4 linked regions of the Alligator mississippiensis genome follow. The protein of the gene in region 2 binds, or shares a complex with, the protein of the main gene of each other region. Links are inferred from orthologs where the notes say so. Each region holds a gene or a part of one and is shown on either strand. Other genes may lie near its edges. The genes, in order: SH3BP5, RAB11A, RAB11FIP3 and MYO5A.

Region 1 (7,419 bases), on a different chromosome or scaffold from region 2:
CCAAGTGACCTATAATTGGCAGAAGAGAGGACAATAAAGCAGCAACATTTCTCCACCCTTAACTTTATAAAAGTCACCATGGGTTAAGTGTAAGCAATTCGGACACATTTATGAGTTTGGTGGGGAGAAGCTGAAGCTGAGGAAGAGCCATGTTATGCAGTATTGTTTGCCGGAAGACTCCTTGGGAAGATAGTGGAAGTTACTTCTGGGCCTGTCAGACTTACTTCTCATTGATTGTGCTCTGAGCTTTCAAGCTTCTTTTCATAGTATGTGCTCTGCAGCTAGAGATAAGGGACCTGTATGGCTATTAAATAAATAAATAAATAAATAAATAAATAAAGGGAATAAAAAACCTGGCAAGAGTGCTGACCCTACACACAGCTACTTTGAGATCTGAGGGGGTTTTCCATGTAGATTTCCTTATGAACTTTTCTAGGAATTTGGGGTGCTTTGAGCTTCTTTCAGGCCATAGCTATCTTGTTTGTTTATACTAGTATCAGAAATATTGGTGGAATCTTCTACTGTGCAAAACTATCCAAGAAGCTTCAAACAATCCACCTATATGTTACCTTTCTGTTTTCATTGTACAGCAGCACCTTTGTTTGTCAGTATTTTAGGCTGCCAGTGTCACTTCAAAGACATATAATATTTGTAACAGAATATAAAATATTTTGTCACCACCTGCCCCACCCCCATCTTTTTTTCCTGATTTTTCAAAAGGAAAGTTTGAATGTTAAGTGTAATACCCAATATCCCCCCTTTCACTTTAAGCCTTCAGGATATTATTATTATGTTTTACCTTGTCTTGCTTTGCTGGGAGGACAGGAGTAACAGCTTTCACAGCCCTTTGGGAGTCTCTTGCAAAGAAAGGCACTTTTATGAAGGCTGCAGCCCCATTTTTTAAAGGACCTTTGATGATCACCTTTGAACAGTCCTTCAGCTAACAAGTGGCTAAATTAGGAACGGATACTTTTAAGGAAAAAATAAAAGGAAAAAAAGCTCTCTGCCAATTTCTTCTTTTTTTTAAATGATATTTACTATAACAATATTAAAAAAAATCACAGTAAACACATTTTTTCTAACTATGTCGCCTTTAAGTTATTAGGGTGTGAGGAATTTCTTTTGCTTTTCATCTGTCAGGTTGGACTATGAGAAGGGGAAAATGGGATTCATAGTTCTGAAAAGTACTCCTTTCCTCCTGCCTTCAAACAGGAGGCTCAGCCATATCTTAGGAAAAGGGGACAGAGAGCCAGAGTTCCAGGATACCCATCATGGTTTTTACTGTGCTGCATTTCCCAATGCAGAATTAGCACCAATCTGCTAGGAAGGTGTGTTGCTAGCAGATCAAGAGAAGTGATTATTCCCCTCTGTTTGGCACTGGTGAGAGCACATCTGGAGTACTGTGTCCAGTTTTGGGCCCCCCACTACAGAAAGGATGTGGACCAATTGGAAAGAGTCCAGCGGAGGGCAACAAAAATGGTTAGGGAGCTGGGGCACATGATTTCTGAGGAGAGACTGAGGGAACTGGGCTTATTTAGTCTAGAGAATAGAAGACAGGAGGGGGGGATTTAATAGCAGCCTTCAACTACCTGAAGGGTGGTTCAAAAGAGGATGGAGCTGGATTGTTCTCAGTGATGACAGAACAAGGAGCAATGGTCTCAAGTTGCAGCAAGGGGAGTTTAGGTTACACATTAGGAAAAACCTCAGTAGAAGGGTAGTAAAACATGGGAACAGGTTACCCAGAGAGGTGGTTGAATCTCCATCCTTAAAATTTTTAAGACCTGGCTAGACAAAGGTTTGACTGGGATAATCTAGTTGGGGATGGTCCTGCTTTGACCAGGGGGTTGGACTAGACCTCTTGAGGTCCCTTCCAGCCCTAAATTTCTATGATTCTATTATTCTAATAATCCTGCAGTTAAGGAGTGTCTAATCTAATGTTTAAATCTCTGAGCTATTACATGTCTTGCTATTGCTATATCAGTCAGGAGCTTTATTTTTACATGCCACCAGGGCTTTGCAAGAATGTTTCCTTTCTACTGACACAATGAGGGCAAGCACAGGTTTTTGGCGTTTTCTTTGTTTTGATGCATGCACTAGATACAATAGCTCTTGATTCAGCTGCCACACAATAGAAACCTGCTTTTGATTGAATTTTCAAGGTTGCCAGAAGTGTTTTTTTGCCAATACATTTAAAACACAGTGAGTTCATAAACAGTGCCTGAGGTAGAAAGGAGGCTATTCGATTATAAAGTGCACTTTCCTGCACCTGAAGCCACTAAGCTTTGTTGGCAGCACAAGGGTGTGGGCAATTGGTTATTTATCACAAACTGGTTTAAAACTTCATCTAGTGGAAGAGCAATGAGTGAGGTTTGTCTGAACAATAAAGGTCCCCTTTTCATAGCAGTATCTGACTTGAAATAAAAACAGGAAAAGCACAGAGAGTGCTTGTGATAAGGTCCCTCCTGGCATTTAAAAGTAGTTCATAGCTGACTGAGGTGGGCTCAGGGTGGATTCAGGGGGTTGTACTGGTGCATTTGCTTTCTGTTCCACCTAAGGTTGAAAACCAACAGCCTGGCAGTGGCAGCAGCCTTTCTAGTTGGGGAGTGCTGAGAAAATCCATTGACTTCATGTCTGATTACAATCTACCTGATCCTTTCTAAATGCTTTGTTCCACAGGTGTTAAGAACCCTCTCTCCTTTTCAGTGGTCTTGATGCTCCACCTGTTCTGCCATTCATGCTGTCTGTTAGCTGCTCCTGGTTATGAAGCTCCTCTTTCCCAGCCCTGCAGATTGTTTTTGACTCATTCCAATGTAACTAGACCTGTTCCTGCTTCCATCTCAAACTGAGTAACACAGCCCTAGGCTTATTTTCAGCTTATTTTCAATTGGGGGAAAAACAAATCTGTGTTGTTTCATCCCTGCTGATGCATCTCACCATCCGCACTCCCCTTCTCTGAATCCTAGTCCCACCCATGGGTGGGCTAGTGGGTAGGTAGGTGTTGGCCAGCTTCCCTTTCTCCCTGCCCTGACTGGAGGCTACTTGCTGGGGTGTTGGCATGAGGACGCCCAGTGCAGAATTCACCTTCTTGGGTTTCGGGGGGAGGTGGGTTCAAGCCAAGATACCAGCAGATTAAGGGATTCCCGCCCCCCCCCCCCTTCTTCAGCACTGGTGAGGCTACATCTGGCTACACCCGTGTCCAGTTTTGAGCCCCCCACTGCAGAATGTGGAGAAAGTGGAGGAAGTCCAGCAGAGGGCAACCAAAATGGTTCGGGAGCTGAGGGACATGACTTATGAGGAGAAGCTGAGGGAACTGGGCTTTTCTGGAGAAGAGAAGACAGAGTGAGGATTTGATAGTAACCTTTAAGTACCTGAAGGGTGGCTCCAAGGAGGATGGAGCTGGACTGTTCTTAGTGGTGGCAGATAGGGTGGCCATCATAGAGGACATTCTGGTGTTCTGCTACTCTCTCCTCTATTGAGATGAAACCGGAGGCCTTTATGTCCTCTATTTTTCTCTTGAAAACCAGACACAGGACTCCACATGAGGCCTCACCAGCGCTGAATAGAGGGGGGAAAAATCTCTTCATCTGCTGGTGCCTTGGCTTGAACCCCCACTCAGGAACCCAAGAAGGTGAATACTGCCCTGGTTGTCCTCATGCCAACACAATCCTGCCCCCCTGGCGGCAAGTAGTCTTCAGCCAGGGCAGGGGAAAGGGAAGCCGGCCAGCACCTATCTACCCACTAGCCCACCCGTGGGTGGGACTGGGATTCGGAGAATGGGAGTGCGGGTGGTGAGATGCAGCAGCAGGGATGTATCTTTCTTGAAGAGAAAACAGAGGACAGAAAGGCGTTGGGCTTTGTATCAATAGAGGACAACCGGGCTACGATGGCCACCCTGGTGGTAGATGGCAAAACAAGGAGCGAGGGTCTCCAGTTGCAGCAAGGGGAGTTTAGGTTGGATATCAGGAAAACTGTCTCACTAGGATAGTGGTAAAACACTGGAGCAGGCTACCCAGAGAGGTGGTGCAATCTCCCTCCTCGGAGGTTTGAAGACCCAGCTGGACAAAGCCTCGACCGGGCTGATTTAGTTGGGTCCCGCTGTGAGCAGGGGGTGTCCGAGAGGCCCTCTGAGGTCTCTCGCAGCCCGCGGCTCCGTCCCCTGGTGCGATCCGCGGGGACGCGGGCAGTGGGGCGTGGCCTGCCGGGCCGAGCCTGGCGTGCGACCCCTCCCCTCCGGGCACGGGCGGGCTCCCGCTGCGGGGGGGTCATCCCTCCCAGCCGGGCTCCCCCGCGCGCCGGAGCAGGGAGCCGGGCGAGGGCGAGGGCGCCGCACCCCGCGCTGCCCGCCCCTGAGGGGGGAGCGCTGGCGGAGGGAGGGAGGAGCCGAGCGCCGCCGCTTCCCTCCCCCGATCGGGGCGGCAAGCAGGAGGCGGAGGCCGGAGCGCGGTGACAGCGGCGGGGCGAGGCGAGGCGAGGCGAGGCGCCTTTCCCCCGCGCTGCTGCTGCTGGTGCGTGGGCGGCGGCCCCATGGAGCCCGCAGCGCGGCGGAGCCGGCCGGGGGAGGAGGGCGATCTCCCGCAGGAGGCGGCGGCGGTGGCGGCGGAGGAGGAGGAGGTGGACCCCAGGATCCAGGTAGGGCGGCGGGGCTGAGCCCCACACACTGCGGCCCCGGCCCCGGCCCCGGCCCCTCGCGCCGCGCCCCCGCCCGCTGCAGCGCTCCTCCGCCCGGGCCCTGCCTGCGGCCCCGTCCCGCCGCCTTGGGTGGACATCTCCTCACTGGGGTGGAGATGCTCTGCCGCTTTCTCCCCCCGGACGCCGCGCCGCGCCGCGCCGCTCCGGGCCAGGCAGTGCCCGAGAGGGGCTCAGCATGGAGCTGGGGGTGGAAATGGGTATATTCCCCCCTCCCCCCACAATCTGCTTCGTTTAGCAAGAGAATTTCCTACGTTGTTAAGGCGCTTTCAGGACGAAGAAGCCCTTTGGCTTGGCTCTCTTGGGGTGTCCTTAAAATGCTCCTCTCTTCTTCGTTTTTTTTTCTTCCCCTCCCCTCCCCTCCCTGCGGAGCAGGTCACCTCAGCTCCGTGCCTCGGCCACTCGCCTGGCAGGACGTTTGCACAAGTCGTCGTCCTGCAACAAGCCACCCCTTGGCTTAAATGTGCCGGCTGCTGACACCAGTTGGATCGCTTGCTGTGCCTGCGAAGGCCTAGGTCAGGGGTCAGCAATGTTTTTGGACAGTGTCAAAAATGCCCGCAAACTTGGCTTGTCAGATGTTGGCATGCCTGGGCAGATTGCAGGGGAGCTGCGAGGGGCCTGATCCTTGTTGTGGCAGCACAGCCCTGGCCCCTTCCCTGCCATCCACCCAGAGGCATGTGTGCCAAGCAAAAACGTGCCGCACTTGGGCACCCGTGCCGGTGGTTGCCTACCCCTGGAAGTCTTTGCAGGTTCGGGGCCTGGCTGCAGGGTATCATGGGCTGCTACTTTTGTCTTGACCTTTTGGTTAAAATCAAGCAAGACAAGCGGTGTCTGAACCCCAACACCTAGGCCTAGGGCTTGTATGTAGGATGCCTGTCTGGATTTGGGGGGGTCTCTGGAGCCCCAGACCAATCGGACTGGGAGAGAGGATACTTGCTGGATGGTAGAGCCACACAGGCTTGGCAAATGAGTTCTGCTCAGTTGAATTTTGGAACTTGAGTATTGGACTTTGCCCATTTAAATTTCCAACTCATTTGGCCTTGATAGAGATAAAAAAAAAATCTTTTTTTTCCCTAGAGATGTTCAGAATTATGGCAGAATTTGCAAGCACAGTTGCCCAAAGATAGGTCCAAGCTTACAGCCCCTCTCAGCATGTGTGTGTAAATGGCTTGATTTTCTCCCCTAGCTCCCATTGACTTCAATTTTAGCCTTAGGTTCCTTGATTTGGAACGTGCCTCCATTTATCAGATCCCTGGGAGCCTGATTGAATGCTGTTAATGAAATTGCATGCTTTTTTTGGTTATCTGGTTAAATTTTTGTAATCCGGTTAAATGCCTGTTGTTCTAACATTCGAGAGACAACTCTTTATCATGAAAGAGCAGTGTGAGGTTGGTGTGTCAATAAACTGTTTAATAGAAGGAAATTGTCTTTAAAGTGCTGGTAGTCTGGCATAACCTGACAGCTGAATTGTCAGAACCAACCTTTTTAGTTTTTTGGTTGTAACCAGAATAATTCTTGTTTAAAAAAAAGAAAGAAAAAAAAAAGTGTTTGATTTATGATGCCATTTCATTGATAAAATTGACTATTTAAGACCTGGTTTTGATACTTGGATTCATAGAGAATAGTGCTTGACTGGAGAGTCATGCTCCGGCCATGCAAGGAGTAAATGTTATTGCTCAGATAAGTAAGGATAGCAGAACATGGCCTAGAGGGATAGCTCTTAGGGAGGAATGTCAAGAAGAATGATCTGTGGTTGTGTAATAAGTCTTGCCTCCTATTCATTCATACTAAAGCCACCAATAGCAAATATTTAATTTATGGATTGATACTTCAGTTTTTGTTTTTTTTGGACGAGCAATTTTTGGAATAAAAGGTAACCAAAGAACGTCTGGCCTAATCGACTTGGTGTTACAAACAGTTGTGTCCTTTAACCAAAATATCCACCTAACAGCCTCTGAGGTATTGCAGGATTGCAGGATAAGTTCCTTTGCAAATTACTATACATGCTTGTGAGGAATATTTTCATAAGATTTTGTGTGTGCGCACAAAATCTCCTTCCCTACTACTGTGAAAGCAAATGGCCTCGTCCTAAAAACTGCTTCCCTGGGAGCTAACCAAATTTTATGTAATGAGACAAAGGTTATTATATGCAATATTTATACTAAATAAAAATTATTCAGGACAAGGCATATACTTTCTTGAAATTAGAGTACTTAAAAATGTTTCTGTACTTTTATATCTTTTTTCTAGTTAGACATTGAGTTTGAATGGCAGATTCTTCTTAGGTCTCGTATCTCTGTTTTCAGTTCATTCTTATTAAAAAACTAGGGGACTGTGGCATCGACACCTACACAGTCAAATGGATCACTAGTTGGCTGGAGGGCCGCACCCAGAGAGTGGTGGTGGACGGGTCATTTTCAACCTGGAGGGATGTGGGCAGTGGGTCCTGCAGGGCTCGGTCCCTGGGCCTGCACTGTTCAACATCTTCATCAGTGACTTGGACGGGGGTGTAAAAAGCACCCTGTTCAAATTTGCAGACGACACTAAGATGTGGGGAGAAGTGGGCATGCTAGAAGGGAGGAATAGGCTGTAATCGGACCTGGACAGGTTACTGTGGTGGGCAGATGAGAACAGGATGGGTTTCAACACTGGCAAGTGCAAGGTTCTGCACCTGGGGAGGAAGAACCAGCAGCATACCTACAGGCCGGGGAACTCCCTTCTCGTCAGTGCAGA
Region 2 (7,715 bases):
TGTATAAGATACATTCCTCAAAGGGATTGTTGCAGAGAGTATTGCAGAAACATTTTGTTTTTACTTACATCAGCTTGAATCTATCAACCTTTAATACAATAATTTTAATTAATTTTCATTGCATAGCTTTAAGGTATAAGACACCTTCATTATAGGTCTCCATTTCACGGGAAAATGTATCTTGTTGGTCAGAAAATACAGTAGATATATTTGGTAAGGGGAAAATGGTCGTAGGATAATATCAGATTCGAGTCCCATGTTGTCAAAACCCCACAACTTGGGTAGAAGTAGGCTGATCTAATGTCCTGGATCAGATCCATCTCTTGTTATATGAACAGTAGAAGCAGGACGGGAAGAGAGTTTATAGCAATTCAGATAGACTTTCAGTAGAAAAATCTCTCCCTGCTCTGTGCTTTTTTTATAATGCCCACTTCAACCAGGAAACACCATGAAGGGAAGGACTTCAAGTACATTGCAGTCCTTTAAATTCAGTAAGGTCTGCTTAAAAAGGGAAGTCTGTTATTTAAACTGTCGGGTTTTATACTCTCTCCAGAGTGACTAATGTTGGGCTGGGGCTGGTGATGCCGAAAGTGACTCCTTCTCTTTTATAATTTACAGCCTTGATTGGAAAGCTCAGTGAATTATCTCTGCATAATTGCAATGATTCATTGCTTGTTAGAAAATTGGAAAGTATTGATTGGATTTCCCCCCTAGGAAATATTTCTCCTCTGGAAGAGCAGGGTAGGTTGCCTTTGCTCTGCTTTTGTCTTTCCTGCTTGTTAATAGAGGAAGCCTGTGGTCTCTGATCTGAGAAACAGGAATTTGGGTCAGCAGCCAGGCAAGGACAATGGTGAATTATTGTCACTTGCTGCTCCAGATCATTCTCTGAACTGCTCTCTGATGCGTTTTGCATGGATTGGAAATGTAGAGCCAGAAAACCTGCAGCCAACAACAGCAGTACTGAGTTGCCGACGTCCATTCCAGTTCCTTCAGCTCCCACCTCGAGTCACTCTGCACACCCCCGGGAGCCTGACGATCAAATCGGGGCCCTGCTTAGGTCAATGGCAAAGCTCCCGTTTGGTTTAATGGAGCTAGGAACCTACCTGAAAGCCTGGGCTTTGGGCCCTCTTTTAGGGCATATAGTAAAAAATGCGGGCACCAAGTCCAGCATCAAATGCCCCTTCCATGTTATTTATGCTCCTAATACGTCTCATTTGCATGATAGGGTCATGCCTGTACACATAGCTCATGCATGTACACATGAATAGTGCTGCTGCAGTTGCCTGTTTCAGCAGCTAGCGGCTGAGTTTCCAGAAATGGCTGTAAACATAGCTATGACTATGCCCCCTGCTTCTCTCCCGCATCAGACACTTGAGACCTATCTGAACCCCAACCCTTGTCTGCGCTCCAGACATGTGGGGTGTCTCTCAGCTGCTCATTGCAGAGAAGCATGTTTCTGTCTCAGCAAGGAATGTGAACCTGGGTGCAGCTGGGGGTTTTCCCCTGTAGCACTTGCACAAGACTGAAGCTCGTGGCACTAACTGGGTACAGCAACATAGGGAAGGGTACTGAGTCATCCCCCCCACATGCTCCCAATCCCTGACCTGCAGAAGCCTCTGTGATTGCAGCTCGGAGCATACATGCCCCGGGGCTGTGAGTGTACCTCATTGCTAACACACTGGAGCCCAGATAACCCACCCCTGGGTCGCCCAGTGCCGCACTGCTGCACCCTCTCCTTGGCTTGCACCACCCGTCCCATGCAAGTGGACTGTGTTACCAGGCCTCCCCCCACAGGAACGCCGACGTTTTGGTGCAGTGAAGGGATGCATTACAGCACGTGGAAAATGTACATACAAGGTACTTTTGAGATCAACTGGTAAATAAGAACGCCATTAATAAAGAAACCCACACAGGAAAAACTTCTCTTGAGTAGGAGAGCTCATCTAGCTTTCCATAGCAATGACAGTCTTTTAAAGCGTGAAATTAAGTTTCTGAAGTTCCAAGTTAAGAGACGAGTCTTCGTAACGACCAAGTTACAAAGAGAGCCCCACAAACTCTTGGTCACCCCACGGCAAGTCCAGGGGTTCATCACAATGGTGCAGTCCTTAATCCCTAGGTCCAGCACCAGAGCTGACCATAAATAAACTCATCGTTTGCTCAACTACATCTATTTTAAAAGCACGTCTTTTATGCTCTTAAATATAAAATATATATAAAATATATATTATAAAAACATGATCTATATATTCTATACTGAAGACCACAATCCTTACAATCACATGCATGACAAAATGAACATTATGACAAGCACCCCATTGGAGGCTGGCACTTTGCCAGCCTGCAAGGGAAAAGCCACGGTTTCCCACCTTTTTCTCCTTTAAAAGAGAACCCATTTTTAACTTTTTCACATATTCTTGCGACTCACGTTTGGGTGGCGACCCATGGGTTGAGACACACTGCCCTACAGAACAAGCACACGTGGGACCATATCCAGGCAGGCGTGTTTGCTTTAGGCAGAGCTCATGCCCTACATGGTTTGCCTTTTGTGTAGCCTTATCTGTCGGTAGCAAAAGGGTCTAATCTCCCCTACCGCACCCTGCTGCTCTGTCTTGCAGGAGGGAGTCTCCCATCCTCGCAGAGCTCGCTTGCACGGCTGCCCTGCAGCTCAGCCCGACACGGGGCCGCTCGCTCTCCCCGCGTGCTCACACCACCTCCCTGAGGCCTCAGCCGTCCCACTCGTGAGAGGGTAACACTTTAGGCCAGTGGTTCCCAGCCTTTTCAGACACGAGGCAGACTCCAGGCATCCCCGGGACAACACCAGCTCTTCGTTTGCACTCTGTTTTGACTACAGAAAAATTTGACGCCACTCAAGGCAGCGATTCCCTGGGCAACTTCCATACCCACCACTCCCAGCCTGGACAGCTGCTGGGCCGCCAGCCACGGCCACTGCTCTTCAGCCTCAGCCCCGCGCGCCCAGAGGAGCCCCCAGCGTTACCCCAGAGCGCTGCGCTCCTTGCTGGGCTGCAGCCGGCTGCCCCGTCCCATCCCGTCTCTGCTTCACACGTCTCCGGAGGGGCCGAGCTGGAATAGCGGGTGTCCCGCCTGTACGGGCCCAGCTCCTCCGGGCTACACTTATCCTAAATAATAAGGAAAAGGGACCACGATAGACTGTCCTCTGCCCTACCTCCATTCTTCTTCTGGGCTTACTTTAGCCCAGCCTGATGCTGGTGTCGTCTGCTCCCTCCTGCTCCGTGACCTTCCCTTTCTCCACACGCGCGGCCCCTCTGCCAAGCACATCATGCTGCCCCTTCCTAAACCCACGGTGCGTCCACGCCCTGGCTGCTGCGCTCAGCTCTAGGCCCAGACCTGGAGAAGGTGCGGAGGAGGGCGAGGAGGAGGATCCGTGGCACCGAGCGGGCCGACAAGGCGCTTGGTGGCGAAGGGACAGTCCGTGGGGACTGACCGTTGACGCCCCTTACCGGACCAGACCGGAGCCGGGCGCTGCGCGGAGGAGCACGCGCTCAGCTGAAAACGCAGCAGCTCTTGTTCACACGGCGCCGAGTCCAGGGGGTGTCGCTGCCACCCACGGGGGGGTGTGGGGGTCCGGGGGGGTCTGGCTGCCACCGACGGCGGGTGTGGGGGTCCGGCTGCCACTGCCGGTGGGGTGTGGGGGTCTGGGAGGGGGGTCTGGCTGCCACCGACAGGGGGTGTGTGGGGTCTGGGGGGGGTCTGGCTGCCACCGACGGGGGGTGTGGGGGGTCTGGGGGGGGGGGTCTGGCTGCCACTGATGGGGGGGTGTGGGGGTCCAGGGGGATGTTGCTACCACTGACAGGGGGGTGTGGGGGGTCTGGGGGGGGGTCTGGCTGCCACCGATGGGGGGGTGTGGGGGTCCAGGGGGATGTCGCTACCACCGACGGGGGGGTGTGTGGCTGCCACCGACAGGGGGTGTGGGGGGTCCGGCTGCCACTGCCGGGGGGGGGGGGGGGGTGTGGGGGTCCAGGGGATGTCGCTACCACCGACGGGGGTGCGTGGGGGCCCGGGGGCGGGGTCTGCCTGCCACAGCGGGGGGGGGGCGCGTGGGTATCAGCAGTAAGCTGCACGTGTCTGGGAGTGAAGTGAAAGGTTGAGTGCCGCGCGCGGGGCAATGCAGTGTAGTGCAGTGCCGTGCACTGGGGTTTCCCTCCCCCGCCCCGCGCTGCCCCGCCGAGGTGAGGGCGCGCAGCGGCCCCGTCGGACCGGCTGGGGGGGGGGGTGGGGGGGGAATCGAGGGAAAAAGATCAGGTTCCACCGAGATTTGAACTCGGATCGCTGGATTCAGAGTCCAGAGTGCTAACCATTACACCATGGAACCGCCTGACGCAGGCGCGCCCCGCCCGCCTCTAGAGCTTCCCGCGCCGGCTCCCTGCACACGCGTAGTAGCGTCTGCCCCGCCCCCCACCCTGCACGGGCAGCCTGGGGGGGCGGGGGCAGGCGCCCCGGAAGCAGTACCGGCAGCCACGCCCCCTCGCCGGCCCGGTGACCCCAGAAGCGCCTGTGGAGGAGGAGGCGGGTGTGGGGGGGCTCAGAGCGGAAGTGCCGCAGCGCCAGGGCGGGGCCCCGCGTCCGGCTCCTCAGTCCCCGGCGGCGGCGGCTCGGCTCGGCTCAGCTCGGCTTGGCTCCGCTCCCCCTCGGCACCATGGGCACCCGCGACGACGAGTACGACTATCTCTTCAAAGGTAAGGGCCGCGCCGGGGGGCATGTCCCCTCCCGCCCGGCCTGCGGGCCCGGCTCCCCGCACCGGGCGCGGGGCGGCGCCGGCAAAGGCGGCTCCCAGGGCCTGGGCTGGGCCCTGCGCTGGCGGCGGCGGGATGGGGTGGGGTCCCTCTACCTACCTACCCACCCACCCACCCACCTACCTACCTACCTGCACACACAGGGGTAGACACACGCACCCCCAGGGTAAGTCTCCCCGGCCTCCTCCTGCACTCCCTGGGCGGGCTGCCTGTCTACCCCCCCCCCTTTTTGGACCTATATACGTGTGTACACACACACCCAGCCCACTTTTTTTATTACACATATATATTCGCAAGCTGTTGTGAGCTGCAGCTTATTTCACCAGCTGCTGCAAAAGGGTGGGTAAAAAGCAGAGTGCGAGGAGAGAAATTAGACTAGGTGGGGACAGAGAAGGGGGGAGGGGAGGGAAGGGGCTGGGCCTGGACAGACAACCCTCAGACCTGTAGGACCAAGGGTAGAGTCCCCCTCTGCCTGAAGAAGGGCGTTTGTGCCCGAAAACTTGCGAAGAACAACTTTTGCAGCTGCTTAGTTGGGTAGATGTGATGTCGTCTATTAGACCCAAGAGCCCTGTCCGTCCAGGCGCGAGGGTGCCTCCCGCGTGGAGCCGGGCCGCGGGGTAAGACTAGTTACCCCTGCGCAGGCCTTGCAGCAGATGCTTCTTGCTTCCAAGCAGGATGATTAGAAACAAGGAATGACTCACTTTTTAAGGCAAAAGAGTTATCACGAGCTTGTATTTTATGGCTTCTTTTGCAAGGCTGCTGGTCTGTTCCCAAAGTGCGGGGGCCGCTGTGAAAACGTTAGGATGAGCAAAGATTGGTGGTGATGGTGGACAGGGTCTTGCACAGTTAAACGGTGCGTCCCTGAGCCTGGCTAAACTCCTGTTTGGGTCCGGTACTGGTGTGACACATGTATCTCGGTGCAGTAGAGTACGTTGTGTTACTTACCTGGCACTGCCTTTCTGCACTTGCACACCCACCGATCTCACTTCCTGTCGTCTCGCTTCGCGCGGCTCCCAGGAGAGCAGGGCAGCGCTGCCCAGGAGCTATGCAACTTCTTTTTTTGGTAGTTCGCTTGAACTTTATCACAGCGTAATATAAATGCTCTACTTCAAGTTCCACTTTCCATCACGTAAAAAAAAAATCAGCAATCTGTTGCAAATGTTCGCCAGAAACGCTGTAAAAGCATGCAGTTGAAGATAAGTTTGAGGTTACTTACTGCTTCAGCTAGCATTGAAAAATCAGTAGCTTGAAAAATATTTTAAGACCAGTGTGGAGTTAGAAGCAGATTTTCAGGAGACTATTAACTGCAAGCAGCTATATCTAGAATATTATTTTATCCCCTGTGTAGCGAAGGGGATGTTAGTTGGAGCAGATGCCGTATGGCAAAGGGGGAGTACAGAGTTCTTTGCTGTGCGTGTTTGTTTTTACCTGCTTGAAACCCAGCAAATGAAAATTGTCATTATTCATTTGGTTCATTTTCATTTGGAAAATGGCTTTCCTTACCCCCCCCCCAGCCTTTGATGGTGCTAATCCAGATTGAATTTTATTAGTAGATGTTAATTACATTTGAAACAAAGCCAGGGGGCCTGATTTCAACAGTTGTCCCATGTCAGTCTTACAGCCCAAGTTGCAACATGCCTATAGATAAGTCTTTTCTCGTCATTAAGGTAGATTTGCTTTTGGTGCATTCCCATTTACACTGGGAAATCACCAACTTCTACAAAATGATGTGTAAAGTGGACATATGAAAACGTGTCATCTTTACATCTTCTGTTTACATAAGACCGATGATAGTTGGCTTAAGGTAGCTGTTGGACATAAAATTAGAGGCAAATCGGGTTGAAAATGGTGGTTCTTATGGTATGAGCCCCACATGCTACAGTTCCAACTGAATCGGAGGATTTATAGCAAAACGGCTATCCCCTGACTGTTGAATGCCTAGGACATGCGGTTTGTCCCCATGACAATGCTGTACTACACAGTGGGCTGTAGGAAAGGCAGTGATGTCCCAGGGACTTGGAGCGTGAATCCCAAAAAACAGACATGGTCTATGTACCCTTGTCTGTCTGTGTCACATCACAAATATTTTTCCCCAGAAAAGTGAGGTTAAAAAAAACATGGTGGCATAACTAATACACTAATTCAGGGTGGCTTCTGAATTTCGTAATGTCGCTTTCTGACCTGGATTATAGAACCTGATGTAATCTAAAATATCAAGGAGGTACCCTAGACAATCTCAACTGGCTTTAACTTGTTTGTGTCTTTTTTTTTTCCCTTGTGTTTTGGATATTATGTAATCGTTAGAAGGTTTGGCTGCAGTGTTGGTTACACCTTCTGCGAAACTCCAAATTTGAGACAAGTGAACCAACAAACTCGCTTCTCATTTCTGACAATCAACTGATTTAAATATGCCAGGCCAGAGGAGTTGTACTTCCTTCCTTCTTTGCATCTTACTCATTTTTCCAGCTTTATTACTAAATCAAAAAAACTCCTCTGAAACTGGACAAACTCGCTGGTCTGGATTTCACACAATGCACTGTTGTCTCATATTTGCTCTGTTTATAGGAAAAACCCATCTCCTAAAAGCTTCTGGGTTTTTTAGCCTGCTAGTAAGCCCTAGATCAGAGGCTCTTTTTCCATTACAAATTAAGGTATTTCCCTCTGATGTAGTTTAATTACTGTCTCCTTTGGATTTAAGCTTGGAGAAATAGATTAGTAGCAGTATCTTTCCAGCATTTGTATTCCAGTATCTTTCCTTCTTGCATACTCTTGGAGGGCTCCTCCCATGTTTCAGAGGGATAAAAATGTGTAGGTACAGGGCTTCAGTTAGATGGGTTTGATGTTCTAGATGAAGGAGGTGTACCATTTATGATTGATACTTGTAGACAGTGCAGTCTTGTAGTACCAGTTTAGTTAATTTAACTGGAACCTGAATGTAATTTA
Region 3 (7,478 bases), on a different chromosome or scaffold from region 2:
AAGATCATAGCTATTGGATGATGTGGCTGCAGGGCAAGTTGCAGGCAAGAAGAAGTCAATTTTCACTTGATTTACTGGAGCCGACTATAAAATCGAAAAATCAGACAACAGATTAACTTTGCTCCCAATAAAATAAGTAAGGAAGTTCAATGGGAGAAGAGCCAATCCAAAACTAGGTGAGAATCCAGGATTTGGTAAAGAAGGTATGGAAGCAGGGGCTGGTGCTGCATAGTTTGCTGCAAACCTGCTCTCAACTTCTTTCCCCTCTACACTGGGGTGGGGAGACCATGCCATGGGAGAAGCTGCTGGGGACATTTTTTATGAATTAGGTAAGAACTTTCTCCCTTCTTGACACCCCCTTCTCTCCCCTCTACACTTAATGGCACCTTCCCTCCTCTCTTATTTCCCACAACTCCCACTCACCACTGCTGTTATTTATGCTGTCTCTGGCTGCCCTGCAGGTGGAGGGAGTTCTAGAGGTGCTCCTGCTCTTTGCCAGCCAGGGTGTACAGGGTGCTGGGCTCAGCCTGGGATAGCAGGGGCACTGGGAAGCAGGTTTCCCTTCCATGTACCTGCTCCCAGGCTATCAGGGAACACCAAAGGATTGGGCAGAGGGGAGCAATCTACCTGCCAGTGCTGCCACTGTCCTATTTGAGCCCAGCTCCCCATGAACCTAGCCATAACCTGAGTACATCTCCATATGCAATTAATGCAAAACAATAAACTCTGGAGCAGTTTGAGCTGTAGTAAACTGTTCCCAGACACAGCATCTACATATGTGCATGGAACAGCAGCCAGCCAGGCTGGAGCAGGCCCCCAGCTGGCTGGACCAATCAGGTGCAATTGATGCCTGTGGTCAGTATCTACATGTGCTTTGCAGCACAGTAAATTACCCTGATATAAGACATTACTATCTCTGACAGTACTATCTTACAGTGGAGCTGATTAGTTTTCTGTGCCTTAATACTGGCACACATGTAGACAGTGACGCTTTACTGCACAGCTAATTAGTCTACTCTGCAGTAAAGTGCAGGTGTAGATGCACCCAGTGTGTCCATATTGGGAGGTATGCCAGTATAACTGTAGTGCTTTAAATATGCACTTCAGCTTATAGTAATGTAACTTTCCCAGGTAGTGATGCTCTCAGGTGCATGTGTTACTTTGCCCATACCAACAGTTGAAATGAACTCCGTGAGAAGTACCCCCGTGTAGAGTTACTCATATAGCTCAGTATTTGCAGGATTGTAGATTAAGCTTATTAATAAATGGATTAAATACAATAATTCATAGTAAACTATATTTTTGCCAAATGGAAATGGACTCCCAGATGAAAAGTGTACTTTCTCCTGTTATGCACATTCAGCCCTATATAGGATGGAAGTAACAGGAATAATCCACCTTACAAGGACATGTATAGATTGTCACCCTGATGACACTGAAAACAATAGGTAACTTGCTGCCTGTCATGAAATTTGATGTTTGAGATCCTTGCTTGCCTGGGAGCTGCACAAATGCAATGATATTTGCAAATGTTATTCACTTTATGAATTCTGCATGAATTTATGAATGATTACCAGATTCCATCCAGGAAGAGCACACACCAACTGCTGCAGCTTCCTTAGCCTGATGAAGGGTTTTTGAACCCGAAAGCTTGCTCAATAACTATTCTCCAACCATTTGGGTTGGTCTAATAAAAGATATCAAATTCACCCAAGGAACCTTGTCTGCCTATGTCCTTAGACCAACATGGCTACAACCTAAACCCCTGAATGATTACCATGCATTAACAGAACACTCATTAATACAAAATATCTTTACAATAATTCTTTATGTAATGAATTTTGCCAAATAATTCATATTTGGCCAAGATGAACTCAAGGAATGTTGAAAACACTCTATTATTTTGCTGATAAAATATTTATGTACAATGGACATATTGCTCAGTTCTTTAATCCTTATCACAATAATATTTATTCTTATTTGAGACAATAAGGAATAAAAAACTGGGCATTAAGTCTGCTATAATATAAATATTTCACCAACAAAATAATACTATATTGTCAATTTTATGTCTTTACATTAGTGATAACATACTTGAGCACCGAGATAAGTGTTGACTTCAGGCCAATGGTTCTTGACATCATCTATATGGGGCTAATCTCTTTTGGTTGGGTTCTAACTGTAAATTTCCCCCAGAGGCAGATCCAGGGGGGTGCAGAGTTGTACCCCACTTTGATTGCTGCTGTACCCAATGTTTGAAACCAACTGACTGCAGTGGTAGCAGCATTTCTATTCAGGCAGCAGTGAGGGAGTCAGTTGAGTTCATGGCTCATTGTAATCTACCTGATTCTTTCTGAACTCTTCATTCCACAGATGCTAATAACCCTCTTTCCTTTTTAATGGTCTTGATGTTCCACTAATCAAGCTAGCTTTTCTTCTGCAATTCTGCTCTCTGTTAGGTGCTCCTGGTAATGTGGCTCCTATTTTACCATTTTGCAGACTTTTTTTAACTCATTCCAATAAAGTTGTGTGTTTTTGCATCAATCTTAACCTGAAAAATACAGCCCTAGGTCCCAGTGTATTAGCAAAGCTTCCTGTTTCTTTTTACCTGGAGAAAAGTATGTGTCATGTTATATGTGATGATGCACCTCACTATGTACACCCCTTTTCAAAATCCTAGATTTGCCCATGGTCTCCCATATAGCAGTATGGAAAATGTTGCATGTCCCTAGGGAGCCCAAATGTGAGAACCCTACTATAGGTCTGTCAGTTGAAGGAGTGACATCTGAGCCCTTATTTTGCTATTAAGGAAAGTTGATTTGTCAATATTGCTCTGATGCTTGAATTCCTAAATAAGAATCAGTTTTATTATTACCTTGTAGCTGTGATTGTCCAGGAATTATGTGAGAGGCAAGGATTTCCTTGGATGGTCTTTTATTGGGACAATTGCTTAAGACAACTTTTTCTCAGTGCAGAATATGTTCCTGACCTGAAGAAGGAGGTCTTGTGTTAGAAATCTTGTCTAACTCTATGTCAACTATGCAGTTAGTCCAGGAAAAGAGATCACCCTAAGAAATTCTTGCCTCTCATGAGCAAAATGAAGCTTCACTTTAAAATTTAACAAATATCAAGTTAATATTTTAACTTTGTTAGAAGTATTTATTAAGAGCTGCCATTGACTGGGCCAGACCACAGGTCCATCCTGCCCCATGTCCTGCGTCAGTGTGGTAGGGAGTAGATGCTGAAAGGGGGAGGGAGTGAATTGAGTTTTTTTCTACTGTTCCTCTCTCGCTTGCAGCCTCCAGCATTTAAAGTGTAGAGAGTTCTGCGCCCCCTAAATCCTCTCAGGATCCAGGTAGCAGCATTGCTGCAGGGAGGTCCTATCTAGCCTCCAGGAGGTGGCTATCTATGCCCGCTCCCCATCTCTCAAGGAATTGCATCTCAGTGGATGCATCTACATGTGTGCTTTAATGCACATTAGCCTATTTTAATGTGCTTTAAAGTGTCACTAAAAAAAACCCGTGGGGCATTTTTACACGTGTTCTGGGAGGCGTGGGGGTGTGTGTACTTTAATTCATGAGCAGTGCCAATTAAAAGCCCCTGAGCATCACGTGTATCAGTGTACCCCATGCTGGAATATGGTGGCAGGGCACTTTGAACTAAAGCTCGTTCAGTGAGCTTTAGTTCTACCACCCCACCGCCATTTTTAAGCAGGGATGCTGATACACCAGATGCAGGAGGCTGCTGAAGTGAGTAATGACCACGCTTGATTGAGTCTGTGCCAACCTGGTGTAATTCCAGGGTGTGGCTGTGGTTCAGGGGCATTTATACCCATAACTTTTATCCTCCCATGCATCAGAGATCTGGCGGGTTGGAGCAGACTTAATTAATTGAGCTGACACAGACTGCACTGTCGCATGCAGTTGTGTAAGTGTCAGTGTACAGAAAATGGCAGTGATGCACTTTAGTTCAAAAGCTGCCATTTTATGTGCTGATGCGCATTTTGCTGTTTGTACAACTGTGCTTTTAAAAGCCCCTGGTGCTGCAGCGCAAGCATATGTACAAATGCCCTAGGTCCCCGGAGGTACCAGATTTGATGTGGGTTAACTAAGGCGCATTAATGCACGTGTAGTCGCGCCCAGTGATTACTATCGCCTTGCTCTGAAGGGAGCCGACTCTGCCCGGCTCCGGCCCGTGCACAGCGCGGCGAGGAGGAGTCCCCGGCCCGGCGGGGGAGGAGAGGTCTGGCGGGGCCGCGGGCGGTGACGTCACCGCGGGCGGCTCGGGGCCGAGCGCCGCCGCATCCGCATCAGCGCGGGCCGGGCCGGGCGGTCCCCGACCCCGACCCCGACCCCGTCCCCGTCCCCCGGGCACGGCGTGTGCGTGTGCCCGGGCCCGCCCCGTGCGCCCCCGGTCCGGGCTGCGCCCGGCGACAGCGACGGGAGGAGCCTGCGCCGCGCGGACAAAGCCCTCCCCGGCGGCGGGAGGAGCCGCAGCGCAGCGGAGCCGGAGCCGAGCGAAGCAGAGCAGGGCGGGCGGCCCCCTTCGCCGAGCCCCGCTGCAGCAGCACCAGTCCTCGGCAGCGGCATTGCCCGGCCCGGCCCGGCCCGGCCCGGCCCCGCGGGATGTGAGGGCGGCGGCGGCGGGGATGGGTGCGGGACATGGCAGCGCCGCCGCGCCCCGGCCCCGGTCCCCAGGCGGCTCCTCGGCTGCGCAAGGGCCGGCAGCGCCCGCGCCCCGCGCCCGCTCGGCCCCGCGCGGCCCGGGCCGCAGTAGCCGCTGAGGGCTCCCGAGCCCAAGCCCGACGGAGTGGGGGGGCCGGGGCCCGGGCCCATGGAGCCGGACCCGCTCCTGCTGCTCCCGGACCCGCTCCTGACGCCGGGGGAGCAGGTGCCGCCGGCCCCGGCCCCGGCCCGGCCCGCCGGGCGCGGCCCCCGCGCGGAGCCAATGGGCGGCCCGGGAGCGCCGGCGGCTGCGGCCCGCGGCGGTGATGAGCGCGCCCGGCCCGGCGGCGGCGGCGGCTCGGATTCGGTCTCGCGGCAGCAGCAGCTCCTCCCGCGCCCGGCACCGGCGCCCCAGAGCTCGGAGGGGCTCGAGGAGGGAGGAGGCCTCGGGAGCCCGGAGCCCCCGGGCGGACGCCTCTCGCCTGCGCCCCTGTGGAGCCCGGCCCCGGGCTGCCGGCCGCCCCCGAGCGCGCAGGACCCCGGCTGCGGCCCCCGGCCGGGCGGCGACATGGACCCGCTGCCCCCCCGCGCTGCTTGCCAGCCCGAGCAGGCCCCCGGCGAGCCCCCGGCCTGCCCCGAGGAGGGGCCTCGCCTGCGAGCCGTCTTCGATGCCCTGGACCGCGATGGGGACGGTTTTGTCCGGATAGAGGAGTTTGTTCAGTTTGCCACCGTCTATGGAGCAGAGCAGGTAACCTATGGCCAGGCCCCTGGATTCGAGCCGGGCTGGCGTGGGGGACCTGTGGAGGTTGCCTGAAGGGCTTTGGGGTGCTTAGTTCTGGTGTTCAAATACCTTGCTCTCATATGAGGTAACCTGCTGTTCATAACGAAACAATGTTATCCTGAGCAGCTATTTAGGTGGGAGTGGGGGCCCCAGGTGGGCAGCACTCCCATTGACTTTGATCAGCATTGCTGCTTTTGCTTTAGGATGGGCACCATAGAGTGACAAAAGGGACAGTGGCCCTGGCACTGTTACGCTCCTTCTGTTGTCCTGGTCTGTGGCATGGTGTGTAAAACTAGGTGCTGCTCTAATTTCATGTAATTTTTAGATGCAAGGAAGACAGTTTGATATCCTGGTTCTTAAACCTTGTTTTAAATTGATGCATTTTAAACATTAGTTTTATTTCTGCCACTTGGGTAGGGAAGCAAAGACAGACTTTTAGAATCCTAACCCCATTCACGGTTTTCTTGGGTTCATTGGCCCTTCATGCTTTGCACCTGTTCCTGTTGGCTTGGCATGTGTCACGTTCCAGCCTAATGGAATAAAGAGTTACTGAGCGCTGATAACACGGACAGGGGCCTGACTGGTGAAAAGAGAGCTCCCTTAGCAGTTCTACAGGTGAAGAAGGATGTGTGCATCTGTGACCAGGTGGAGAGCTCCCTACTCTCTGGAAGTCAATTTGGCAATATCTTCCTCCATGAAATCAGCCTTTTATATTTTAGATGCTATTGTTTGCTTAGGTTAACCTTTCTATTAGACCATTCACCTAGGCTAAGTATTTGGGTAAAGACCCTCCTCTTAAGGTGGGGCTTGGATAAGTTGGCATCTTATTCTAGGTCCCTTGAACATCAAAATAATGAAAATTGTCAAGTGCGTATGTATTGTCTTAAGAAATATCGCTGAAGAAAAGGATTAAAACAAGAAAATTTGGCAGTTGTACTCCAGATATGGTTGAGTGGTCTTTGAAACAGTGTGTTAACCTGAGCAAATTTAGTGCCGTAGAGTAATTTTAAGCTTTTGGCCTATCCAGGCCTCTTCAGATGAAGGACATCAGTGGGTTTGAAAGAGGCATAGGCACAGAGGCCTATGCTAGTTTGAAAGCTTGCAGTGTGTCGAGGAAGCTAGCTGGCTGGAAAGCCTGTCCATTCATTTAAAAGGGAACTCCACTTTTATTGATTTCTGTGTTCTTCAAAGCAAATAAAACAATGCAGATCAAGCAGATGTTAAGCAGTTGGTCACTATTACAATACTTATAAACCATGGATGTTTTGTGCTTATGGCCACTATTTTTCTTGTACATGTGACCATATATGCGATTACTGAGCATCAAGTAGCTCCATTTCTGGCAGGCATGATTTTTCTCTTCTGTTTTTCTTCTTTTTCCGTTTTTTAAAATAGCCTTCTTTTTTTTGCCTTCCGTTGTATTGTACCATGGCAAGCTTGGATTTCAATTTATGCTCTTGTAGCAGCTCAAATGTGGTGATGTAATATGAAGCCACCTGGTCTGACTCAAAATGTAGAGAGCTAATGGTTGACATTATATAGAAGAGGACAAAAATAAATTAGTTGCTCTTTCAACCTTGGCTTGCACTGATACTGTCACAATCCCAAACTGTATTCCAAATAATAATGTGGTTTTGGCTCTGTGTAGATCTTAAAAGAGCTGCGAGCTTAAGTGAGGCAAGTCAGCCAGTTCCTTGTACGCACCTGGCATGCACACAATACATAGTGTCATGAAACAGCAAATACTATCTTGAATTTGTGTGTGCATTTCAAGCAGAGGAAGCTTTTGGTTTATTTCAAAGTGTAAGAAATTAATCTCATTCACTCTCTTATGGATATTTTCTAACAAGCCAACAACATATCCTTTAAATTTTCAAATCACAGGGAAGACTCCTTAAATCTGAGAGATGCTCTAGGAAAGGATGTGCATGAATGGCATTTGCCATCTTTATTGCATCATTAAATGAGTAATATACCTGTATGCAGATTTATAAGTTTGAGAACTCATTCCCAGGAAAGCCATCCACTTAAAT
Region 4 (7,840 bases), about 18 Mb from region 2:
AAAAAAAAAAAAAAGATTCCTATCCTAAACCATTCTGCAGTGTACTTGTACTTCTTTTCAGTAGGGCATCAGTCTATTGGATTGAATTATCTGTACTAAATACTCCTATGCAACTGTATGGACAGTACTGAAGAACTGAATAATACTAGTATTGGCAAACTAAAACCTAAAGGTATGGTCTGTAAATCACCAAAAATCTGGGGTTTGGAGATGGGATCTTTGGTATCAGAACCTGAATAAAAGTGGTGTACCAGTTAAGCATACTTTTGCTGGGAGAATCAGCTTCATATAACAGAAGCTTCTGTAACACTTTGAAAGGACAGATTCACATTGCAACTACATTGCCATATCTAGGGGAGATGCAACAAGCAATTGTCCAGCTGAGGGTTTGTTTTGATTATGGATTTGTATGTTGCTTTCCATGTACATGCTGAAAGACTTGTGACTTCTCTTGTGTGAAACTGCCATGTTACACCTTGTACTGAGTTGCACAAACATTGATTGGTGTTAGTGCTAGCTTGGAATTTAGAGCTGTCACACGCAGTCATGAAATCTTCTCTGACTGTGCCCCACCTGCACAGCTGTGACTTGCCACTAGGAGGCCTGGTGAGCAGGTGCAGGACTAGGAGCTGTAGCTACTAGAGGGATGGTGAGCCAGGAACACTTCCATCCTTGCTGAAGGACTGCAACTTGGGCAGCACATCTGTTGGGACTGGCCACACCTTAATGGAACAGGAGCTGAGTTGTGTGAATCGGAAAGAATCCTGCCCTGGAGTAGCGTAATTTTGAGCTGCATAATAAGTGCTTAAAACCACTTCAAAATGTTAATGTGCAGACAGTCCGGGAGGGTTAAGAGCTCCAAGAGCTGCCCAAAATTACTATGCAACAAGGTATCAAGTAATGAACACCTCTTTGTTACTTATCACCATTTGTCACTTGTATCTTGTAGATGTTTAGTTAGTCACAATGTCCCCTGAAAGATTTGTTCTAAACTTTGATTGGAAGAGGATTAACAACCTTTACCAAGTTTATATGCATGTTACTTGCTTTTGATTCTATCCCAACCTAATTAATTAGCAAATTCTTCAGGAGTTATTTCTAGTATTTGACTCTATCACAAAATAATATGCTATGGAGAGTTGTAATGCCTTTTGCTCTATGAAGGACTTGCATCTTATGCAAGTTCTTTAGTAAACTATGAAGAAAGGCTTTAACAGTGTATTTTTAAATTCTTATATGGCATGAATGAAAATTATGGGTTTTTTTCAAAGCAACCTTTGCATTGCAGGTATGTCTAGAACTCATTATGTTAACTAACCTTAAAGTTAGTTAAGCACTCCCAATTACTCCTGATATAAAATTAAATCTATGGTAAAGATGCCAGTAGTGCATCTATCTCTAAAACAAGAAAAAGCTGTTTCTAGCTGAATTTGGAAGAGACTTAATGTTACCTAAAAAAACCTGCCATCTTTTCCTACCTGTGCCCATTATGCCAGCAGCAGGCATTGATTCTGTGTTACTATATTATTCCTTTTTTGGAGTAACCATTTGATCAGCTAAAGAAATCATCAGTTGTAGTATGGCATAAAATGTCTACCCATGTCTAAGGATCTGGTCCCTTAAACTAAACTATAACATGGGTAGAAATTCCAAAGACTTTCTTGAACAAATTCTGCTGAATCCTTCCCCATTTTAAAGTTCTGAAAGGATAATTTTCTTTGCTGATGTCATTTAAAATCAGTATACAATATTGTATATGGATGTTATCACAGCTAGGTTAGTTACATTTGTAAATGTTAACTGTGATACTTGTATTCTGAAATCCTTTCATCAGCTCTGAATTTTTTTTTTTAAGATAGACAGATTTCTTTGGGGGTTGTTTTTTTTTAAATCTATTTAGTTAGACCGATGGTTAAGGAGCATGACTGGTTACTTATAGGTGTAGTACAGGAAGGCTGTATCTATTTTGTCACTGTCTTTAAAATCTGACCTTTAACGACAGACCTGAGATTTCAGTTTTGTGCTGAATAATGTTGAGACAGGAGTATTTTGGATAGACATATCTATTTTTGACTCGTGATTATAATTCCATTTGAATCCAGGGCTCCAGCTGTGAATGGCTGATACAATAATCCACAGTCCAAGCACGCTAGTGAAAGCAGCAGTGTGGATTTAGCATTTGCATTATCCCAAAGCAGCACGGTGGATGTTGGGTGAGAGCAGGCGCATACAAAAATTTTTAAGTTCTTATAATAAATAAATATCAAGTGAAGGATGAGAGTCACACTTGAGACAAATGATGATGTCAGTGATGACAGATAAGGAAAAAAAACCTGAGGGCATGTCACATGGCCAGGAGGGAAAAGGTACAGGCTCTAAAGAAGTAGGACATTCACGGAAGCTTAAGATACTGGATATATTGATGAGGAAAAGACCATTGTAAACATTGAGAGAAAGAAGACACCAATTACAGCTTAAACTGATCCTGGAAAAATTAATATTTATTTGTGATGTTTATTGACCATAGAGCATTGGAGCAAAGGACAACTCCCTTTTCAAAAGCTCAGCTTCCTCCCTCTCCAGTCTATTAAAAAAATCTGTTACTGATATTTTTTTGCTTGTTCTTACTATATCACTCTCCCAATCCTTGTGTTTTTGATCCTCTTGGCTGTCCTTCCTAGCCTGACCTTATGCCTTCACCTACTGCTCTATTTGGTCCATAATACCTTCCTTCATGTCCCAGTTGTCTTTTCCTATAATCATCTTTTTTTGTATGCTGCTCTGGCCTGTTCTGAACTGGCCTATAGGACCACTAGCCCATCCACATTCAAATCCTCCATGAAGGCTCGCTTGCTTTGCAATGCAAGAAGCTAACCAACTACGTATTTGCCTTTATATAGAGTAGCTTCACAGCATGCACTCACCTTCACAGACTTTGCTGACCTCTCTCTCCTTAACATCACTGCCAAAACTGTTTGTAATTTATTCTCTGCCCCTATTTCTGCATCCAGTCTGAAACTGGAGTGTAAGCCTTTCTGGATGCTGAGTGTGAATTCTTATCTGTGCCTAGCAAACTGCTGTAAAATTATTATAATGTTTCGGCCATGGCAAAGAATGTTAAGAGCATTTGTGGAGGAAGCACGTCCCCTCACAAGTTGTCAGATTCCCCCCACACTTCTCTATTGCCCTCATCCCTGATTAATAGGCTTTTGCTAGTTTTCTACTTTGGCTTTTTGGTTACTTTCATTGGCCTCCTGTAGCTGACCTCCAGACCACTCTTGCGGTTGGCAATTACAGGATTACCACAATGAAGAGAATCTGCAGAATTGATCCCAGAAGGAAGAAAGGATACTATGTACCATTTGTATCCCTCAAGGAGTTGGGGAACAGCTAGAAAAAAATCATGGGCTATCTCCAGTGAAATTCTAGTTCCTTCTCCCAGTGAATTTAAAACAAAAATAAAGATGGGAGCAGTGAAACTGCTGCACAGATGTGCCCTAAGGCTATGCTTTTATAGCGGTCTCAAATCATGGGGAAATGAATTTGTAACAAAAATTTAACTGCCAAAAGGTCTGTCTGAATTTTTTAACCCTTCAGTGGTCTTAGGCTGAAGCATGTGCAATGCTGAAGCAAAAAGGGTTGGCACAGACTTCCCTCTACCAGGAGGCCTCAATGTCCCTGCCTGCACTTGCCTGGAACCATTTTCTGTAAGCATCCGCCAGGGTTGGTCTGCTCCCTTGCCTGGGAGGTGCCTATATATCAATGCAAGTGGCTTTGGCAGTGGCCATTTGGACAGGGGAGTGGATGATTGCAGGATTTGCACCTGACACCACACAGATATGGCCTGTGGGTTTCACCTCGAGAATGATCGTGACACAGGCGAGAATTGGTGTTTAAAAGGTGCATAATAGAGAAATAGGGGTGGAAGGGACTTGCAGAAATCGTGCCCCTTCCTGAGGCAGGATCAGCCCCATCCAATCCATCCCATACAATTTATCATCTAAGCTTGATATCAGGCTACTGTCCGCCCTGATGCCACGCAGACCAAACGCGAACCTGCCACTGGTAAAATGGACCACAGCAGCCAGTATCCTACTTCTATGAAACGTTGATACACGCTCAAGGCAGACAAGGTTCTTTGGGTAAACGTGGTCGCTTTTATTAGACCAACTAAATGGTTGGAAAAAAATGTTCTTTGGGGCAGAAACACTTTTCTTCAGGCCTAAGGAGAGTCGGCGGGTGTCTGCTCTCCTGGGTGGACTAGAAGATTAAGCCAATATGAAAAATGCAGGTCTGTGAAAATACAAATGTGTGGCAGGGAAGATGCGGGGACGGGAGGTACAGGCAGGGCTACAGAGGAGCGGACTGGTAAGAAGACGACGCTGCAACATCCTCCCCCTTTCTGTTTTGTTTTCCCTCCCCCTGATCTTCCCCGGGAGCCTGGACATGCCCGGAGAAGGATGCCCGAAAGCCTGCGACCAACTATTTTTCCAACTATTCAGCCGGTCTAACAAAAGACATCACCTTTCCCCAAAGCACCTCGTCCGCCCGCGTGCTTGGACCGGCGCGGCTCCACCCGCCAACCGATTTCACGGTCGGGAGGCCGTGGGCGGCGGTGTGCGCCGCCCCGAGCTGAGGGACGAGCCCGTCCGGCGCGGGACAGCAGGCCAGGCGGGCCGTGCAGTGCCAGGGCGGCGCCCCAGGAGACAGGGCCCCAGGCCGAGGCCGAGGCCGCGCTCAGCGTCGCGCCGCCCGCACCCCCGCCCAGCGCCGCCTTCCCACAATGCACCGGGCCGGGGCCGGCCGCGCCGCGCCGCACAGGTAGCGCCGGCTCCCCCGCCCCGCCCCGCCCCGCCTTAGCGTCGGCATCGGCATCGGCATCAGCATCCCCCGCGCCCGCCCGCCCGCCCGCCCGGGCGGCATCATGGCCGCGTCCGAGCTCTACACCAAGGTGAGGGGCCGCGCCGGGCGGGGAGGGGAGGAGATGCCGTGTGTGTGTGTGTCCTTCAGGCATCCGCGGCCGATGGCGGCAGCGCCGCCGCTCCCCTCCCGGTCGCCTCCCCCACACCCGGGCCGGGAAGCGGGGGGTGGGGTGGGGGGTATCTGCCCCGCCCTGCCGCAGCCGCCGCTCCCGGCCCTTCCCGCCGCGGCATCGCGGGCTCGGGGGTGCCGGCTCCGCCGCGCGTTTGCATCCTCTCGGGCCCGGCGGGCTGCGCGGGGGGGGATCCTTCCCGGCCGGGTCCCCTGCAGGTCCGGCGCGCGGGCAGACCCGGCCTCCAGCACCGCCCGCCAGCAGCAGCCGCTGGCCGCAGGTCTCATCCACAACCCCTCGCCTGCCGACCCTTGGGGTTTCTCTCGTTTCCAAAATCCACCTTCCTGCTGTTGTCTAAAACCAGTCTCGCTTCTTCAGAACTGTTCTGCCGAAACAGGCATGGGAGACGGGGCTGAGCCGTTGCAGCCTTGCGGGGAATCTCTGTGGGTAATGGTAGGCTACGATCCTCCTTGCCTTCTGCCTGGCTGAGATCCCTGCTGCCAGCACTGATGCAGGAAGGGGACTCTTTGTAGGGCCACTTTTCAGTCAATCTCTTAATATAGTTTAGGGTGAATTTTACTACCTCTCCGTGTGAACTGCGGAGATCAGTGCAGAAGCGCTGCATACGTGTGTTACTGACCGACAGGATTAAGGTCCATTGCAATGCACATTTTATGCATTAGCAGTAAAGTGTCTCGTGTGTGTGTGTGTGTGTACCTGCAGCAAAACTATTGATCACTGATTTTTCTTTTCTTTTTTTTCTGGCAGAAAGGGCCATTGTAGTCATTAGGTATGACCCCATGCCATTGAATTTTATCAATCTTATTGTATCAAGTTTGTAATTTCAGGTTGAGTTTGGGCATATTTTATTAAATGGTGTCCAGTCTCGAATTTTCCATTGCTTTATAACATCAGTTACGGTCCAGCTAGTTACTCGTGTAAGTAGGGAATATGAAAAGAGAGTATTTCTGCACTGGATGATTCTTTCACCGTGTTTGCAGTAACTGCCCATGGATATACAATGGGTAATCCCTTTTGAGGATGATGAGTCAATACAAACCAAATTCTTGATACAATGTTGACGTGTTTCATAGGCCAACTCTAAACAGTGTGTGTTATGGGAAAAGCTGGCTCTTGGCCAGAGACTGGACCAATCACATAAATGAGAGACTGAAAAAAAATTGTGGAGGTGATGGTTAGTTGATGATAGACCGAGGTGCTCTAGACCAGTGGTTCTCAACCTCTTTCAGTATCAGGACCCATTTGTAAGCATTACTGGCCAGTCCCAAACTATCACTCACTGCCAAATTCCCATGCCTCTTCCACCAGCACAGCCAGATCTGGGGCGGGCATTGCCCTCTTCCCTCTGCCAAGTGAATGGAGCTGGGCCGTGCCCTCATCTCTCCATGTGGCTTGATCAGTGCCAAGCCATGCCCCTTTCCTGCCATGGGCCTGGATCAGGCTGGGCAGCCCCACTGGTCTCCTCTGAATGACTGGATGGAGCCCCGCTGCATCCACCCTGGGTGCTGGATCAAGGCCATTGGCCACATCCTGCCCTTGGACAAACTGAGCACTGCCCGTCCAGCCCACCAAGGAGAAAAAAGGCTGAACACCACTGTTCTAGACAGCTGCTTATATTAAATGTATCTGCATAAACAAATGAAAATAAGCATTCTGGTCAAAGGAAGTGTGGGCACAGCTGGCCTTAAAAAATTCACTAGACATCTATTTGTCCTTGTATATATTTAAGAATAGCTATTCCTGATTAACAAATTGTGCAGATGCTTTTATTCCACAATAAAAATGTTCAAAATGGGAAAGTATAGACACTTGATTAAGTTAACACTAGATAAGTGTCAGCAGGGTATTGCAGTGTTTCAGCTGTTCCATGGTAGTGGCCTTTGTGCATGTATTGTGCATAATAACTGAACACTAGCCCATGTCACTTTATCCTTAAACTACTCTGGTGATTCTCAACCAGGGTGCCACACAATGCTAGCACTGTTAAGTGTGCAAACATGATTTACAAGATAAACCCAGAGTTTTCAAATTGGAATCCACAGTGTTAAAAACATTCTAGCCTGTTGTAGTCTTTGTCTGAGTTCTGTGCAACAGCAGAATTGTTCTCTTATTTTTCTGTAGTCAAAAAACAAGTGAAAGCTCAAAGCTGGTATTTTATGAGGGGTGTCTCCAACCTATCAATGGGAACATCAAGTTGAAAAAGGTTGAGAACCACTGGACTAACCTATAGAAGACTAGCGTTCATTTACTGCAGGACAGATTTGTTCAGATAGATGAACGGTTACTCTAGAAAGAGGTGGTTAGTCATGGAGCAATGAAAACACTGTAAATTTCCACCCACGTGCATCTTCCACTAACTTGATTATATGTTCGTATCCAGAGTTAAACAGGAATAGCTATCCTGCTTTAAATTCACACCCTTCCTACCTTGTGTAGGCCAACTTTTTACTAGGCTGCTAGAAAGGACTAGATTTCCTGTCGTTCTGGGACAGCGCCCTTATGACAGCTTAGCAGCCTTTATCAGCTCCTGAAGAGGGTGATGGTACATGAGCATATAATAGACTTGAAGGTCTCCTGATTGCTGGAGGAGAGAGAATTTTTGTTTTCTTCCATTCATCATCTCAGTTTTTGTCATATATATGTCCTCCCACCTCTGTTTTCCAATTTTTAGATGTTTTATTTAGTGAATAAGAACAGTAGAGTAAACTTACTAAATAAGGAACATAATGACTTTAAGATAGTGGGCAACGGTCCTGTATAATAAAACAAGTGCAGCATATAGTCCCC

Evidence for each region.
Region 1: the proteins of RAB11A (region 2) and SH3BP5 are in contact, whole or in part, in a crystal structure (PDB 6IXV), measured with the Homo sapiens proteins. The link is inferred for Alligator mississippiensis from reciprocal best matches to the Homo sapiens genes RAB11A and SH3BP5. Residues at the interface, in NP_004654.1 of Homo sapiens: Tyr8, Asp9, Tyr10, Leu11, Lys13, Glu35, Phe36, Asn37, Leu38, Glu39, Ser40, Ser42, Thr43, Ile44, Phe48, Lys58, Gln63, Trp65, Tyr73, Ile76, Ala79, Arg82, Gly83; in NP_004835.2 of Homo sapiens: Asp42, Ile45, Gln46, Leu49, Glu50, Asn53, Thr56, Ile59, Asn60, Glu63, Thr64, Glu67, Lys240, Tyr243, Leu247, Leu250, Glu251, Ile253, Ser254, Asp255, Ile257, His258, Arg261.
Region 3: the proteins of RAB11A (region 2) and RAB11FIP3 are in contact, whole or in part, in a crystal structure (PDB 2HV8), measured with the Homo sapiens proteins. The link is inferred for Alligator mississippiensis from reciprocal best matches to the Homo sapiens genes RAB11A and RAB11FIP3. Residues at the interface, in NP_004654.1 of Homo sapiens: Arg33, Ile44, Gly45, Val46, Glu47, Phe48, Ala49, Thr50, Trp65, Arg72, Arg74, Ala75, Ile76, Ala79, Tyr80, Arg82; in NP_055515.1 of Homo sapiens: Asn731, Phe732, Gln735, Ile738, Asp739, Arg740, Ile742, Val743, Met746, Glu747, Pro750, Ser751, Leu753, Glu754, Val755, Lys756.
Region 4: the proteins of RAB11A (region 2) and MYO5A are in contact, whole or in part, in a crystal structure (PDB 5JCZ), measured with the Homo sapiens proteins. The link is inferred for Alligator mississippiensis from reciprocal best matches to the Homo sapiens genes RAB11A and MYO5A. Residues at the interface, in NP_004654.1 of Homo sapiens: Arg33, Glu35, Ile44, Gly45, Val46, Glu47, Phe48, Ala49, Thr50, Gln63, Trp65, Gln70, Tyr73, Ala75, Ile76, Ala79, Arg82; in NP_001369276.1 of Homo sapiens: Ile1660, Gln1661, Trp1738, Met1742, Arg1745, Tyr1746, Ser1749, Gln1750, Glu1753, Arg1756, Gln1777, Gln1780, Val1781, Lys1782, Lys1784, Met1795, Glu1818.

The regions. Positions count from the first base shown.
Region 1 is NC_081828.1:140,206,156-140,213,574, reverse strand, and holds the start of SH3BP5 (SH3 domain-binding protein 5), read left to right. Parts: upstream 1-4,305; 5' UTR 4,306-4,524; coding exon 4,525-4,629; intron 4,630-7,419. UniProt on the Homo sapiens protein: Functions as a guanine nucleotide exchange factor (GEF) with specificity for RAB11A and RAB25. Inhibits the auto- and transphosphorylation activity of BTK. Plays a negative regulatory role in BTK-related cytoplasmic signaling in B-cells.
Region 2 is NC_081834.1:5,472,646-5,480,360, reverse strand, and holds the start of RAB11A (ras-related protein Rab-11A), read left to right. Parts: upstream 1-4,556; 5' UTR 4,557-4,675; coding exon 4,676-4,715; intron 4,716-7,715. UniProt on the Homo sapiens protein: The small GTPases Rab are key regulators of intracellular membrane trafficking, from the formation of transport vesicles to their fusion with membranes.
Region 3 is NC_081836.1:26,509,041-26,516,518, forward strand, and holds the start of RAB11FIP3 (rab11 family-interacting protein 3), read left to right. Parts: upstream 1-4,330; 5' UTR 4,331-4,833; coding exon 4,834-5,412; intron 5,413-7,478. UniProt on the Homo sapiens protein: Downstream effector molecule for Rab11 GTPase which is involved in endocytic trafficking, cytokinesis and intracellular ciliogenesis by participating in membrane delivery. Recruited by Rab11 to endosomes where it links Rab11 to dynein motor complex.
Region 4 is NC_081834.1:23,337,408-23,345,247, reverse strand, and holds the start of MYO5A (unconventional myosin-Va), read left to right. Parts: upstream 1-4,825; 5' UTR 4,826-4,924; coding exon 4,925-4,951; intron 4,952-7,840. UniProt on the Homo sapiens protein: Processive actin-based motor that can move in large steps approximating the 36-nm pseudo-repeat of the actin filament. Can hydrolyze ATP in the presence of actin, which is essential for its function as a motor protein. Involved in melanosome transport.